Linked DNA regions of Elephas maximus indicus. The protein of the gene in region 2 interacts with the protein of the main gene of each other region in a pairwise test. Links are inferred from orthologs where the notes say so. Each region holds a gene or a part of one and is shown on either strand. Other genes may lie near its edges.

Region 1 (8,201 bases), on a different chromosome or scaffold from region 2:
GCTAAAAGTCTTCTAGAATTATATCAAAACGACACTGAAACCTATTTGCTGAGAAAAGCCTACAGAATTTAATTCCTGATTTGAACTACCTAGTTAACAGTGCAGAACATTGCTGAGTGAGGAGGATCTGAATACAGATGTGGTTGACATGAAGACCCAGAAAGAGTTCCCATCTCCTCTTCAGTAGGCCATGATCACACTTTAGATAGTCTTTTGACGGGCTGTTTGTAAATGAATCCACTTTACAATAGCTGTACGCTTTAAACTATTTATGACAAACTCCAACAGCATTACTGTTCTCTAACTAAAACACACTGATGGTTCAGAAAAGATTTCTTGCAAAATACATTAATAAATGTCACTGCATATTCTGTAAATACATTTAACATTGTTAGACCAGCCCATCAGTTACGGGCTGCCGTATTTCAGTACTTGTGTCAAATTTATTAGAAATTTTATAAGAAAACTTCTGATTGACTCAGCTGCCTTTATTAGCTGACTTTAAAAAGTGTCACAAAATGGAAGACAACACCTTACAATAAATATGTGGAGTTGATTTAGAAAAGTAAACTGTACAGTGGACAATATTACTATCAGAGTGATCACCAAAATGAAATGCCTTCCAGTACAAAAAAAGGGAAGACCTCTATACAAGCAGTTATCTCAACAATTCCAATTAAAGATTCATCTCTCACTTGTTGCTGGCAAAAATTAATGGGTAATGGCACTGTTTCCCAGCAGTGCAAAAATATCCTGAGAAATTACTCAGATTACAACAAAAGAAACAGAGCTTTTATCCTATGGTTCTGCACAAAACAAAGCTACTAGATATCATAAATAAGCTAAGTTTAAAAGCAGATAATCTTCACTGTGTTAAACACAGAATAACAGAAAAAAGGTGTCTATAACTTTTGAGTTAACTATGGCCAATAACGGAAACTCTGGTGGCGCAGTGGTTAAGAGCTAGGGCTGCTAACCAAAAGGTCCGCAGTTCAAATCCACCAGGTACTCCCTGAAAACCCTGTGGGACAGTTCTATTCTATCGAATAGGGTCGCTATGAGTCAGAATCGACTCGACAGCAAAAGGTTTGGTTTTTGGTTTCAATGGCCAATAATATACAAGGAGATAATCTGCAGTTCAAGTTTTCCTCTGTTTTCTCTCCCAGAAGTTACAATCTGAATTCTAAATTTTACACCAAAACATACAATTCCAATTTCCAAAAAGATCTTACTTGTAGAGGAATGCTATTCCAATATTTGGTGCAATCCTGATACAGAGCCCAACAGTCCTACAAAAAGTGAGCTTTTAAAAGTAAACCAAAAAAAAAAAAATCATTGATTTGTAAACTTTCACTTAAAGCACAATAAAAATTATTAAAAAATATATATATATCAGCGGTAGCCCAAAGGTCCTAGCTGTCCAGTTCTGCAATTCTTCAATGGGCTTGAGGGGTAAGCTAAAGGTAATAAGCACTTTACTTTCTATAATTCATTTTCTTGTTGGCATAGTCACTTCTACAGTAGCTCATATTCCTGACACTGGGAACTCACAGCATCTCTTTATTGAGCAAGCAAAGGAAATCAAGTGGACAATGGGGAACCACAGGATTTCCATCTTCACATCCCCGGTTAATGAGCTCATTCATTTAATGACTGTGTATTTCCAAGGTCCTTTGAATTCCCATACCCTCACCAGTTTTTTAGCTTAGGTACTATTTTTTAAAACTCTTTCCAGTTTCACTAGATAAACTTGTAAATGCCCTTAAGAACTGTGAACTCCTGGTAACCAAAGATTATATCTTATGATGCTTCTTGGAAAAAATCTCATCAACAAACCACAGACTTCCTAACATACTCCTTATCTTCCCCTACCCCTATCCCACAGAAGGAGAAATGGAAATTGTTATAAGGGAGTTAAAATTATCAAACAAACACACACACATAGACACAAACACAGGGTAAAGCCATACCAGAAATTAAAATACACAAAACAGTAAGCTAATGTTTCCTTTTACTGGAGAGGACAGTTTAGCAGGAGGGGTAAAATCGCTTAAATAACATAATCCACTTCCAATCTTAACAATCATATTTAAAGAAAGAGCACCAAATCTGGAGGCAGATGACCAGGTTCAAGAACATCTGGGCCAATCTCTTGGTTGTGGGATCTAGGTTAAGTCACATAATCTGAATCTCATCATAACTTTCATTTCACAAGTGGAAAAACTCCCAGGGTTGTTGAAAGGGGCCAATGAAAATCTTTGAGAAAGCGTCATAAACTATAGGGCACTATAACACTGCCTTTTTTAATCACACTCCACATTGTCTGGTTTAGGTATCAAGACACCACAGTGAGGATACACAGCCACAGACCAAAATAACTAGTTCATTAGAATCATTTCAAATGGCCTGAAACACACAGGTCTTGTGCAAAGACTGTGCAAGGCAGTCCTGGCAGCTTCTACAAGGAAATTATTACACCTGTGCTTCTGACGTGACAGGTAAACTCCTCGTCCAGATTAACCAGCTGCCCCTAGAGCTGATCCCTCTCAATCGCGTAGAAGTCATGATAGTGATTCAAAGGGCACCACTTCCGACTGTGAGTCAGTAAAAGGGCTTACCCCCCCCAGGGAATGCCAATGGTCAGCACAAGGCCCCACGCCGGGCACCAATCTCCGACGTGCGCGAGGGTCCGGTCCTCCCAGGCCCAAAAACCGATGGACCAAGCCAGGCTGGCGGTCAGAAGCTGCAGCGCCAATTTTACAGCCGGCCCGAAGCTGCGACCCACGGGGTCACCTCACCAAGCACCCTCGTGATATTGGGAGGGAGTGGGCCCAAATGAGCCCATCAGGCCTTCCTACCTCCCTGCTGAAATATCCTCTTGAAAGCGGCGTCTCCAGCTTTCACCCTTACCTGTCACTTTCCCCACGCCCGTCCCTGTCCCCCGGTTCCACTCCTTGGCCCCGTCCCCAGCGTCACCCCGCTTCCGGCTGCCCCCCACCCCGCAGCGCCCCGGGCCGGCCCTTCTCTCGCCGTTGGTTGCCCCCGAACCCCGGCGCCGCACCAGGAACGCAGCGGAGGGCAGTACCCGGGCGGAGGTCAGGGCCCGCCGTGGGGGTAACGCGGCCGGATGAGCCCGGGAGGAAGGCCTTGGAGGACGTGAGCCACTCACCAGCCACGGGTGCACTGCGCCGGTCCGTCAGTGGCACCGCCGCCGAAGCCGAGAGCGCGAGCTTGGGGGCGGTCGGACGTGTACACGCAGCGCGTGGGGGCGGGGTCTGTGGAGCCTGTGCTGCGTGGGGCGGGGCGTGGGAAGGATACGCCCCCTGAGGGGCCGTTTGCCAGGAACCGGACACGCAGCCCTGGTTTGGCTGTGGAAATAGGGATGCTTCAGAAAGAATGCTAACATTATTAATAAGAGCAAATGTTTATGAAGACGCCTCTGGGCTACGCGCTTTGCTTGCCCAATCTCATTTAATGCTATTAGATCCATCCAGTTATGCAAGAAATCGAGTCGTCAACCTTAAACACCATCCTCTTTTCCTTTTGCCAGTTCAATCCTTCAGTTCTATGCGGCCCTGCTGCAAACGTATTCCTCGACTCTGCACGCTTCTCTACATCTCCTCTGCCACCAGCCTTCTATCTGGTCTCCCAGCGTCGGCCTTGCCTCATTCTCCAAACAGCAACCAAGGTGATCTTTTAAAAGTCAAAATCAGAGCATTACTCCTCCCCTCTTGCTAAAACCCTTCCACAGTTCCCCATCGCTCTTAGGACAAAGGTCAAAATCCCAGCCATGGTCTACAGTTCTCCTCCCCCTGGCTAGACCATGCCACCACCTCTTCAGACTCACCTGACCTTCCCTCCACCTGCCCTTTCTGCTCCAGCCATACTGACTTCCACTTATTTCCTTAACCATCAGTCAGCATACAGATTAAAAGATGCAATATTCAGCTTTGGCAAACCTCCTACATGCTGTTCGTAGGAGTTATTGGAGATGGAGAGAACAATTTGACAAGATCTGTTAAAATTTAGAATGTGCACACTCTTTGACCCGCTTCTAGGCAGCTATCCTAGAGGAATACTTGCAAGAACTCCAAGAAAGTAACAAAGAAGGGTCATTACAAAACATAATAAGAGACTCCATTTTTATGAAAATTTTGGAACAACCTAAATGTCCATCAAAAAAGGATGAGAGAGTTGGCAGTGGTCATCCATTCAACAAATAAGTTGTGCCACAATTTAAAGAGGGGGGGCAGACCTCACGTAGTGAGGACATGGAAAACTCTTCAAACATAAAGTAGAAAAGAGGAAGGAAAAAAAAAGTCGTAGGAAAATACATTCAATAGATTCCACAGCACATAAATTAAACTAAAAAATTATTGAACACTAGTTAATGATGTGAATGATAAAGTTTTTAAGGGCAAAGAGTACTAGCGCCTGCAACTTACTTGGAAATGCATCAAAAGATTAGATGGTTGATAGATGGTTAGATGGAAAAAGATATCTGATAAAACAAATATAGCAAAATTTTAAAAATTAAAAAAATGTAAGTGGTAGGTATACAGGTGCTCGCTGCACAGCTCTTTCCACTTTTCTCTATACTGTACTTACAAGTTTTCAATAAATTTTTTTGGAAAATACACTCAGTATTGATATGGATTGAATTGTGTCCTCCCCAAAAGAAACATCTTCCACACTAACCCCTATACTTGAAACATGATCCTGTTTAGAAATAGAGGCTTTCTTTTGTTTTTAATGAGGTCATACCAGATCCCTTCTGAGTGGTGTCTTATAAAAAGCAGAGGGGACACAGAGATACACAGAAAGGGAAGACAGACACATTTACAATCAGCCAAGAAATGCCTGGGATTACCCACAAGGAAAGACCCTCCCCTAAATCCAATGTTCTGATTTAGGCTTCTAGCCTCCAAAACTGTGAGACAATAAATTTCTGTTCTTTAAAGCCACCCACTCGGGGCAGCACTAGCACAGTAAAACAGGTTGATCTCTCTCTCTCTCTTTTGAGTCTATGAAATTATTATATATTTCTACATGTTCATGTGTAGGTATATAAATACATCCAAAAACCCCAGAACGTTTACACACTAAAATGACAGAGAGGTCAAAGTCCACTTTTGCTTTACATATACCATTTAAATTTTTTAATGAGAATGCATAAATGCGTTATGTATTACTTGGCTATAAAAAAATAGATTTTAAGAAAAGGAAGTACATTCTGCACTTCCCTCTTTTCCCTACTCTGGCCACATAAAATTGAATTAAGCTGAATGGCAGTGATTGAAGGAGCAGTTGCTGTGAGAGTTCAAATGAGATAATGTGGGGCTTAGCTTATGCCTGCCACTCGCACAACCCCAGTCAAGGGCTCCCACTGTTATCATGAGTGTATGCCACTGAAGTCCTTTGTCAGATACAAAGTCACACAGAAAGTGCTGAATCATGATAGGGTGCACCAGCCAGTAGCTAATCTCTCCCCTCATGTCTCTGGGTTGTGGGTCGTGGGCTGCTTGGGGCCTTGTCTTAGTTACCTAGTGCTGCTACAACAGAAATACAAGTGGATGGCTTTAACAAACAAAAATTTATTTTCTCACAGTTAGGAGACTAGAAGTTCAAATTCAGGGTGCCGGCTCTAGGAGAACTTCCTTCTCTGTCAGCTCTGGGAGAAGTTCCCTGACTCTTTTCAGCTTTTACTCCTGGGCAATCTTCATGTGGCTTGGCATCTGTCTTCCTACATCTCTGCTTGTTCACTTGTTTAATCTCTTTTATATCTGAAAAGAGATTGACTCAAGACACACCCTACAATAATCTAGTTTTGTTAACATAACAAAGAACTCATCCGCAAATGGGATTATAATCAAAGTAGGGGTTAGGATTTACAACACATATTTTGGGGAACACAATTCAATCCATATCAGGCTTCAAAAGGCAAGACCTTTGCCCCAGCCTGTCAAGCTGCCAGCCCACTTCTGGAAAGTCTCTGGGCACCAGCACCACTGGCTGGCAGCCAAGGGTAAGCCACTTTTTGCCTGTCCTGATTTCTAAGCTTCAGGTTCAGCAAGGCCAGAAGGCACTGGGGTTGCTCTGGTCCTGACGCGGCCCTGGAATTTTACTCTTAATTAAACATGGGCATGTAACCTAGGCAATTAAACTGGGTCTCATGCTCAGAAGAACTTTAAGCTTGGTTTAATGCTTTGCTGTTGCCATCTTGAAATTCTCAATCATTTTTTAACAAGGGCATTTCATTTCCATTTAGCAGTGGGCCCCGCAAATTAGTTGCTGGTCCTGCTGGGGACCTTCTTGTTTGGATTTATTTCCTTAAAACAGAGGCCTGGGAACTTTGGATTTTGTGGTTTAACTCCATGCAGCTGAAGAAAAACTGTTACCAGAATAAGGTTCTTGCCTCTCTGGTCAAGAATGAGCAGGTAATGTTACAGGGCAAGGCTTCCCAGCCCAGGACTAAGCCCTGCCTAGGTTCTTACCTTCTTCTGAGCAAGAATGACCAGGAGAGCCTCAGAGGTTCCACATGAAAAAAGTTTATTAGGGACAGAAAGAAAGTAAAAGGCTCATGAAGGAGAGAGAAGGAGAGGGGTTTCCACCTACACTAGCCTCCAGTCTCTCACTGAACAAACGATTTCCTAGGACTTATAAAAGTTCTTAGGAGGGGAAAAGGCATTACTTTTATTCATTAAATGAGTGGAGATTTCCAGGAGAAGGGGAGGGATTATGAAAATCAAATGCGCACGCAGTTAGAATTCAAGATGGACTTCCTGACAGAGGTTGCTGGAACCAAGATGGAGGCTGTCACAAAGGCTGTTGGGATGTCGAACAGGACTTATTCTGGGATGTCGTGCATGCATGATGCCCCTGGATCTTGGTTCGAGCCCCAGCGAGTGGTCTTTGTTCGTGTTTGTCTTACGTGGAAGGTCATTCATAGCCCACGCCGATCTTTACCATGCATGCGCTGCACCTAGTGAGGCCTTGAAAAACAACTGAGGAGAATTATCAGTAATTTATAGCTGGTCAAGAACACAGGGGCTTGAAATGTAGCCCCTTATCTTGTCTAAGCACCTAGTTTGTTAATCACAAGTAGTTCTTGGGTGCCAGCAATAGAAGTTATCTGGTAGTCTGCACTTAGGTTTAGATTTAATTATAGCTGGTCGAGCACCACACAGGGCCTTGAAACGTACCCCTCATTTAATTCAGCCAGCCTGATCTCTTCCGTCTCTGTGAGGCACGTAGAGTTTTCCACAGGAGCAAAGCTTTATTGAAGAGGCTTGCAAGTAGAAGACAGGCGGGCCTAAGCAACCCATATCCCCATCTCACAGAACAAAAGATCCGCCCGGGGTTTTTAAAAGTTCTTGGGCGGGAAAAGATTTATGTTTATTCACAGGCATACCCAGGGTTATGTTAACTACAGCGCGCGGGCAGCAACTTTCCAAGGTGGCTGCTGCCCTGGAGGCCTCTGGGATTCGTAGCAGGACTTACTATGGGGCGCCGCGCCTGCGCAGTCTCCTGGCTGCCACTGCAGCCCTTCACTGCCCCTGGTGGAAGGTCACACAGTGGTCACAGGTGGATGTTCTGCACATGTCCCTGGGGCTGGTTTTCTCCAGCTGCTTCTGAAAGACTACTTTAAGGTTTATGGGCTATTTTCTGATACCCTGCCCCATTGTTCTGGGGAATGGCTTTGTTTCTGCACCCTGGCCCATTTCTTGTTACTTTGTTTGCAGATTTGGGGGGCTCTCTATTCCCTGTCTTAAAACCTCATCTTTTATCAGATTGATTTGTACTTCATTTTTTTTTTTTTTTTACCATTGACTAGGTATTTACTGAATTCCTACTATGTGCTGGACAATGTACTGGGAGGTAGAAGTACAGAGACAAACAAGACATGGTACCAGCCCAGACTAGGGGTCAGGGAGGGCTTCCTGGAGGAGGAGATGCTTATATGGAATTCTGAAGAATGAGTAGAAGTTAGGTGGTGGTCTAAGCACAGAGGCATGACATACTATGGTATGGAGGAGACTACAAGGGATAAGGAAAACCTGGTGGGGCAGTGGTTAAGAGCTAACCAAAAGGCTGGCAGTTCGAATTCACTAGGCACTCCTTGGAAACTCTATGGGGTAGTTCTACTCTGTCTTATAGGGTTGCTATGAGTTGGAATTGACTGTAACAGGTACAGGTACAAG
Region 2 (7,811 bases):
TGCCAACACCACAGAGGCCTCTACTAAGGTGAATTCATGTCCCCAGCTCACCCTCCAGTCCCAGCTGGACACAAAGAAAAAACCATTAGTGGCCTCTAGGGCCATTAGATCTCCAAATAAAGGCCAGCCTCAGCCTCCCTCACTTTTGCTCTACTGCGCCCAGGCCCAGATCCTCACTAGAGAAGTGGGAAAAGCCCACCATCTGGAAAACAGGCAGGAGTAATCCATGTGGAGAGACGCCAGTATGGCTGTTACTTTGAGGGGGCACTGCTGGAGGAAGACACGAGGAACTGGAGTCCTGAATATGCTCTGTGTCTTGATTAGAGTGGTGATTACACCGGCATACACACGCACCAACAAACATACATCAGGCTGAACACGTACAGCGCAGGCATTTTACCATATACACGTTACCGCTCGGTAGAAAAGGGAAAAAAGCCCACAATTCACCCCATTCCTCCATCTGTGTTGTTAAGAGACAACTGAGCCTGCAGGTTGTCCCGTAACATGTCACCAGCTGGTGGCCAGCCTTGCTCACTCGAGGTGCCCATAGAATGGGCATCTTCATCTCTGTGTCCAGGGCTGCCATAGTGGAAAGGTCAAGATGATTGGCCCATGGGTCAGGAGTAGGCCCCTGAGAGCCGGGCTGGGGCTGTGTGGCACAGTAGGTGGAGGAGGAGGAATGGGGAACACTTCCCAACCCCTGCCCCTCTTGCGGAGTCTCAAGGGCAGGCAGGGATGTGCCTGGCAAGAGAGCAGCCATGCCATGTTCAGCTGCTTTGCCACATATTCACGCTGGTCCCCTGTGCCCAGAACTGAAAGCAGAGGAAGGACAGGTCCTTTAGGCTGTACCTCATCTTTCACCTCCATGCCCCCTAAAATTAGCCAACCACAAAAAGACTACCACCCCACTCCCAGGCTGGACTGCAGGACTCCTATCACATTGATGAGTCTGTGACCCTGGGCGGGAAGTGCACAACCAAGGCTTGGCCCTGGGCCTGGACTCCAGATTGCCGGGTATCCTTAGCTCTTACCTGGGCTGCTATGGTACCTGGAGAATACCCTCCATGCCAGGACTAATGTTGTACAGTGGGAGTACGGGATAGTCCCAAGCAGCCAGCCCGGGTCCTGACAAGCATCCAAACACCTGGGGAGTGCCTGCTATGTGCCAGACACCATAGTAGGTGCCAAGGTGCGGTGGTAAGACTGGCAGCACTCTGCCCACCTCACCATCCTCACTTTCTCATCACCTGCCTCTTCCTGACCTATATTCTGGTTCAGGGGGAAAGGAGGTACCTGGGGCACAAATATTTCTGTCAGGGACAAGGACTGAGGACACACCAGCTTCCCACCACTCCTCCCCAGCCTACTGGGCACCCAGAGACTTCAGGCAAGTACTCAGATGCAATGGAGAAAGGACAACTGCATTGCTGACGCTGCCCTCCGTCCCTCTGCCCCAGGGTCAGGACCGCAGACTTGGAGATGGGTTGTTATTAGTTGCCACTGAGTTGGCTCCTACTCGTGGCAACGTTACGCACGGCAGAAAAAAAAGTTGCTCAGTCCTGAATCATCTCCATGATCTTTCATGTGTTTGAGCCCATTACTAAGATTATTGTGTTGATCCATCCTGTTGAGAAATTTCTGGAGATGGGAGGACCCTCAAAAACTATTTCTAGTCAAATTTCTTTGCCTTACAGCTGAAGAAACTGAGGCCCAGAGTGACGGAAGTCTAGTCAAGGGTTACAGAGTAAGCTGGAAACAAAGGCAACTCTAAAATCCAGGCTCCCCTTAAGGGTCACCACTAAGCTCCCCACAGTGCTTCTTGGTGCCCCACACTATGCCCACCCAGTAGAGATGGCAAATAGCCTGGGACAAACAAAAGACAAGCTCTCCTCTTAGCCCTTCCATCCCTCAATCTGCCCGCAGCTGGGGGGAAGGGGTTATAGTTTTCAGTCAAAAAAGGGCAATGGCACCCTACCCGATAGCTCCTCCAGGGCCCTCCAGACTATTACATTCCCCCAGAGGAGGCCTCAGGGTCATAAGCACCCACAAAGCCCTCATGCCTGTGCCCTGACAGGCATGCACCATTTCTAAACACTCTAGCTTGGTGCAACGGGAACCACCAGAACATCTGTGGGGCTCAACCTGTTGGGGTCCCACCCAAGGGGTGGCTGGAAGTTACGAGCACACAGAACATCATCTCACACCCACACCCTGAATTGTGCCTGCTGTCACCCTGGAGTTCAGAGACTCCTGAGTCTTCTCAGGAAGACAGCTCCTTTTCTAAAGAGAACGGACAAGTGTCAGGGCTTCCTTCCCCGGGCTAGCTGCTGAGCTCCAGCACAAGCACATCAGAAAGGAGCAGCTTCTGAGGTCACTGCCCCTCACTTCCTCAGGAGGCCAGGGGGGTTCACACTAGCCAGAACCCAACTCTGCTGGGAAGGGAAACACCTCAGTATACACAGCCAGGAAGCAGGCCAGGAAGCCAACCTGATTCTGGGAATTTGGCACCCCTTGCCACTGCCCCCTACCTGATCCTGGTCAGATCCTGACTAGGGGGCTGGGAGGGGTCTGTGCCCAGGCCGGGACAGTTCCAAGCCCACCTTCCCAAGTAGGCCTCACTGGTGAGCAGGAAAAGCCGAGTCCAGCTGTTTCCAGTCACCAGCAGACCTACGATGTCTCCAGGGAAGATGCCCAGGCTCGTACTGACCCTGAACACCAGGCCTTACAGGGGGCCCCAGCCTTAGGAGCCAGAGGCAGGGAGCCCTAGGAGTAACCACCCCTCATCTGTTCCTGAGGAAACAGTACCAGGGCCCCACCGCACATCAACCCAGCTCTCTGCCCCTTGCCCTCGCCACCCCGGCGGGAGCGCAGACCATGCGAGCAGCAGGTGCAAGGCGCGGGGGTGGCACTGAGATGACACAAACCACCCTCGCCCTCACCTTCGAAATCCTCCGGGCCTTCGCCACAGCCCTCCTGCCACCCCAGGCTGGAGCTTCCGTTTGGATACTGAGATGGAGGTGTGGGGGGGGGGACAGCTAGCTGCCCGCCTCCCTCAGGCTGAGGGGTGGGAGGAGGCGCCGGGAACGTCCTTCCCCGATTGTCCACGGACGCGAGGGGACAGGGGGCCCCCAGGCCGGCCCACCTGCCAAAGACGCGGCTCCGCAGTGGCCCGGGCGGGGACGAGGCCAGAGGCCGCAGCCCCCCGCCCCACCCTCCGGCCCCGCATGACGCTCCCGCCAGGCCCCGGCGCCCGCCCGGCGGCGGCCTCTGTGCGCGGTCCCGCCCCCGGTCCGCTTACCCAGTGCGCTGCAGTCCGCACACACCTCCGCTCGTGGCCCCTTCCGGGACATCCTCAGCGGCGAGGCGGCCGCAGCCCTCTGGGCCAGCGTGGGGGGCGCGGGCGGCGGGCCCGGGCGGCGGCGGTGGCCCCTGCTGCCTGGCCCGGCTCCCGCAAGGCCCCGGCTAGGCTCCGCGCGCCCGGCCAACCGTTCGCCGCTGGGGCCGGCCCGGAACCCGCGGTGCCCGCCCGCTCGCCCTCGGGCGCCCTCCGCCCCGCGCCGCCCCGCGCCGCCCCGCCGCCGCTCGCCGCTCGCTCTCTCCGCCCCCTACGCGGCTCCGGGCCGCTCCTGCAGGAAGCGGCGCAGGCCCTGCCCACCGGGGGAGGGGCAGCCCACCCCGCCCGCCCCGCCGCGCCTCCCGGAGAAAGGAAGCCGGGAGCGCGGGCGGCAGCGGGCGGGGCCGCTTAAAGGGGCCGCGGTCCCTCGGCCTCGCCTGCGGCCCCCGCATCTGCTCCGGCGGCCCCCAGGCCCAGAGGCAGTCGGTGTGAGTCAACCTCGCAGCCGCATTCCCTACGCTTTTGGGCGGAGGGTGGCCTAGGGACGGTGAGCTGGGTTAGGTTAGGGGCCAGGGAAGAGGGAAGGCCTGGAGGCCGATGCCCCCTCCCGGTCAAAGAGCTGTGGCTTGGCGTACCCGCTCCTCTCAGGTTGGGGTGAGGTGTGCGTCTTGCTGGCCCCCATGTGCCCACGCCAGTGTGCCAGTGTGTATGTGTGGTCATACTCTTGCTGAGTGCACCACCCCCTCCCCCCGCCAACAATATGGACGCCCAGGTGCAAGAGAGGTCAAGCAGTGTATCCCCCTGCCTCCGGGCTAAAAATACCTTTATCACTCCCTCCGTGCTTTCACCCGGAAAGGAATGAATTGGGATGCTTTTAAAGACCTCCCAGGAGGTGACCACTGTGCCTTGTGTGCGGAATAGCCCCTTGTCACCCGTCGTGTATACCTCCATCACAAATGCGTCTAGGGTGTGTGCGTACAACATACACGGACCGTTTCTTGTGACGGTCTTTCTTCCCATACTTGTCACCGAGACATGGCAGGCAGGCCCGAGGGGGGAGGCGGGGGACAGGGAGCCGAGGCGCAGGCCGCACGTGGGCGCAACCCCGCACTGAGCATGCTCCCCGGTACACGTGTGCCCCGCGTGCACCCAGCCCCCAGCCCTGCAGCGGCACAAGGCCAAGGCCCTCGGCTTGTGAGCAGAGGGTCGGGGGTGCGGAGGACCAAACTTGGGGACCAGATCTGCGGTGGCAAGGTTAAGGGAGGGCTTCCCCAGTGGCCGGGCGTTCTCGGTAACCAGGACGGGAAGGGAGCCTTTGAGCAGGCGTGACCGAGTTGGTCGATTTCTCCCAGCGGTGCCCGAGCAGCAGTGACTTGTGGGTGGGCAGGCTGCTTCCCTGGGGGAGACAAGTAATGCTCATGAGTCACACCACCCGAAATACACGCAAAGCTGCCTCCATCGCCTTTCGCTGCAACCCAGATTGACAAGTTTGTTTGAAATCGCGATCCACGGGTATATTTATAATCGCACCTTAAAAAAACCTTCTTGCAGGCCTCTCCTCCCCCCTGCCAGCAGCTCAGCTGCCGGGGCTTTCTGTAAGCAAAGATACCTCGCGGGGCTGGAGTGTGTCAGGAGGGGACACCACCTGCCGCCCCATGCTGCGTCGGCATGGAGGAGTCCGCGGGCTGAGTGGTCCCAGGTCAGGCGGCCGGAGGAGCTGCCTGGCCGCCTGGATCCGGCACGCAGCCCACGAGCGGGGCCCCCTGCTTCACCCCCGATCGACCCTCAGCTAAGAAATTTCATTTATTAAATGTCGAGGTGGCTCCTGGCAGCCGGGCCGCTGGGCTTTGTTTCTCTGGTGTGTGGGTGCGTTTCGAGCACGTGGCAGCCGGAGCGCGCAGGCCAGAGGGAAAGCCGGCCTCAGTTTACTGTCCACGATCGCCTAGAAAAGAGAGCCCGCTGCCCAGGGGGCGGCCCTCCCCGCCCCCCCCCCCCGGCTGATTCCCTTCCTTGGGCTCCAGGGCTCTCCAGGGAAGTAGACTGATTGACCTCGCTTCCCGCCCCATCTCCAGGTTGGCCCGGGGACCACCTGGGAGTGGCCCAGGCACCGATCCACTCTCCAAACTTTGTTTCGGAAACCCCGAGCCCCTGCACAGCCGAGTTTCTGGGATTGGGGTAAGGGAGAAAAGAGTTTCTGGATTTCCCTATGTCACCACTACCCGAAGCAGGGCAACTAAAAGAAAATGAGACACAAGGTTCTTAAAACAATTTAATGAGGAAATGTACAAGAATCCTCACAGCCACTCCTGGCCGCCCCTCCCCGCGGCCTAGCCCCCCTCCCCAGCTCTGGCCGCCGCCACGACACTCTGCTGACCCCTTGTGGCCGAGGTGGGCCGCGGCCTCTGGCGGCCGGAGACGCCAACTGGCTCCTCCCAGGCTGGAGAAGCTGCGAGGCACTGCGCTCCTCCCTCATCTCTTCCCGCCGGGGCCTGGCACCGCAGGGTGTGGAGGAGGGAGAGGAGAGCACACAAAAACCTGAGAGAGGCGCGGAGAGTTTGCAAGCATTTGCTGGCACCTCCCACACAAACACATCTTGGGTTGTTGTTGTTCAAGGTGGGGGGGGGGCTGGCGTGGAATCCCTCATTCCTGCCTTATTCTAAGGTGGGCTCAAGAAGGCACCGTGCCTGGTCCTGCCACCTGTCACAGTCGGCCTGGTTGGCGGAGGGAGGCGCCGTTTTGAGGGCAGTTACTATCCTTAGCTCACCCAAGGAGGTAGTATCCAGAGGCTCATTTTAGAGGTGAGTGGCCTCGTAAACTCAGAAATATTAAGCAATTTGAGTTAGTCTGAATTAGAGCTCAGGTCTTTCTGACATCACAGCCCCGCCTCTCCCGGCCTGGGGCCGAGCCTCCAGGTCCTTCCAGCCCTGACAACAGGCAGCCCCAGAAGCCAATTCCACACTTACCACACCCTCTGCTGGGCCGGTTCTGGAAGGGCCTCTCTGCCCTGGGGTCACCCAGGGAGGAGACAGTCTCTGGAATCGGCTACTTCCTCTCCTGAGGGGACCCCATGGGGTGGGGTGGGGAGCTGCCACCTGCTGCTTTCCCTGCTCAACTCCACTCTAGTCGTAGTTGAGGACAGTGCTGGGGGGGGTGATCTCACCTGAGTGGACATTTTCTTTCCAATGTCAAGTGTGCAAGATGGAGTTGAATGTTCTAAGAAGGCAGGGAGGATTCCTAAGAAAAATCTCAGGTGCCAGACCCCTGGCTGCCCCAATGACCCTTAGTACAGATGCCCTGCACCCTTCTCGGGGATCCTGCATCAGCCGCTCTCTTCTGGGTATCTGGATTCATGCTCACAGTCCCTGGAACCCACGCTCAATCCTGAAGGCCACACACCGCCCTTCCCTCAATGTTCAAGGGAGCTCTGCAGCCCCTCCGACCCCCAACAAAGGGCAAAATCAAGTGGGTGGGGGTGCCCCCAGCCCACCTGGCGTCAGGACGCTGCTCCCGTTTCTGTCAGGCCTGGCTCCTCCCCAGCCCTTTCCTGGGAGCAGGAGGACAGTGTGGTACCCTCCCTGGTCCCCTGCCACCCCCAACTCCACAAGGCAGACTACAAGCCCCATGATGCCGCGGGGCCGGGCTACAACAAGCTCTGCCCTGGGTACCCGGGTCCCCCTCCTCTCTCCTTCGCATCCCCACATCCCTCGCCGGCCGCTGGGGCTGAGGGCCGGGCTATGCGGCTGCGAGGAGCCGGGGGCTGCGGGCGCGCGTCCCTGCGGCGGCGGCGTCCCCGGGGCCGGCGCCCCGTGCGCCCCCGCGCCCGCTGCGGGCGCCTGCTCCCTCCGCCGAGCGGCGTCTTTGTGTGCGGGGGTGTGGGAGGCGAGGCGCGAGCCCGCGCCGCGCAGCCGAGTGCCCGCTCCCTCTCCGGGCGGGTGGGGGCCTCTCCGCGCCTCCTCGCGAGGACGCCCGCCGCCCGCACCGCGCCGGGCGCGCCGCCCCCGCCCGCCGGCGCCGCTCGCACATGCCCGAGCCGCAGCCCTGCGAGCAAGCAGCGCCGGCCCCCCGCCCCGCGGCCCCGGGCCCCGGCTCCGGCGCCGTCCCTCCTCCCGGGCCGGGCGCCGCGGCCCCGGCATGAGGAGCGGGCGATGATCCCCGCCAACGCCTCCGCCAGAAAGGGGCCCGAGGGCAAGTACCCGCTGCACTACCTCGTGTGGTACAACCGCTACCGCGAGCTGGAGAAGGAGGTCCGCGCCGGCCAGGTGAGAGCGCCGTCGGGGCGCTGCGGAGACCCCGCGGCCGGGCACGCCCGCCCGGCGTGAGGAGGGGGCGCGGCGCGGGCTGTCCCGCCTCACCGACGAGTTTGCAGCGCTTCTTTGTTCGCAGCCGCGGCTTTTGTGTTTGTTGACCGGAGAGGGTGATGGGAGCGGGCGGGGGCCGGGACGGGCGGTCCCCACGTGGTCCGGACCCTCTCAGA

The links. The genes of interacting proteins can lie anywhere in the genome.
Region 1: the proteins of GIT1 (region 2) and HMOX2 interact in a two-hybrid assay, tested with the Homo sapiens proteins (2 studies listed by BioGRID and IntAct). The link is inferred for Elephas maximus indicus from reciprocal best matches to the Homo sapiens genes GIT1 and HMOX2.

The regions. Positions count from the first base shown.
Region 1 is NC_064830.1:62,538,456-62,546,656, reverse strand, and holds the start of HMOX2 (heme oxygenase 2), read right to left. Parts: upstream 3,232-8,201; 5' UTR 3,170-3,231; intron 3,111-3,169; exon of another isoform or gene 3,086-3,110; intron 1-3,085.
Region 2 is NC_064837.1:22,374,645-22,382,455, reverse strand, and holds the start of GIT1 (ARF GTPase-activating protein GIT1), read right to left. Parts: upstream 3,563-7,811; 5' UTR 3,354-3,562; coding exon 3,302-3,353; intron 1-3,301. Other genes in the region: ANKRD13B (ankyrin repeat domain-containing protein 13B), read left to right, coding at 7,483-7,596. UniProt on the Homo sapiens protein: GTPase-activating protein for ADP ribosylation factor family members, including ARF1.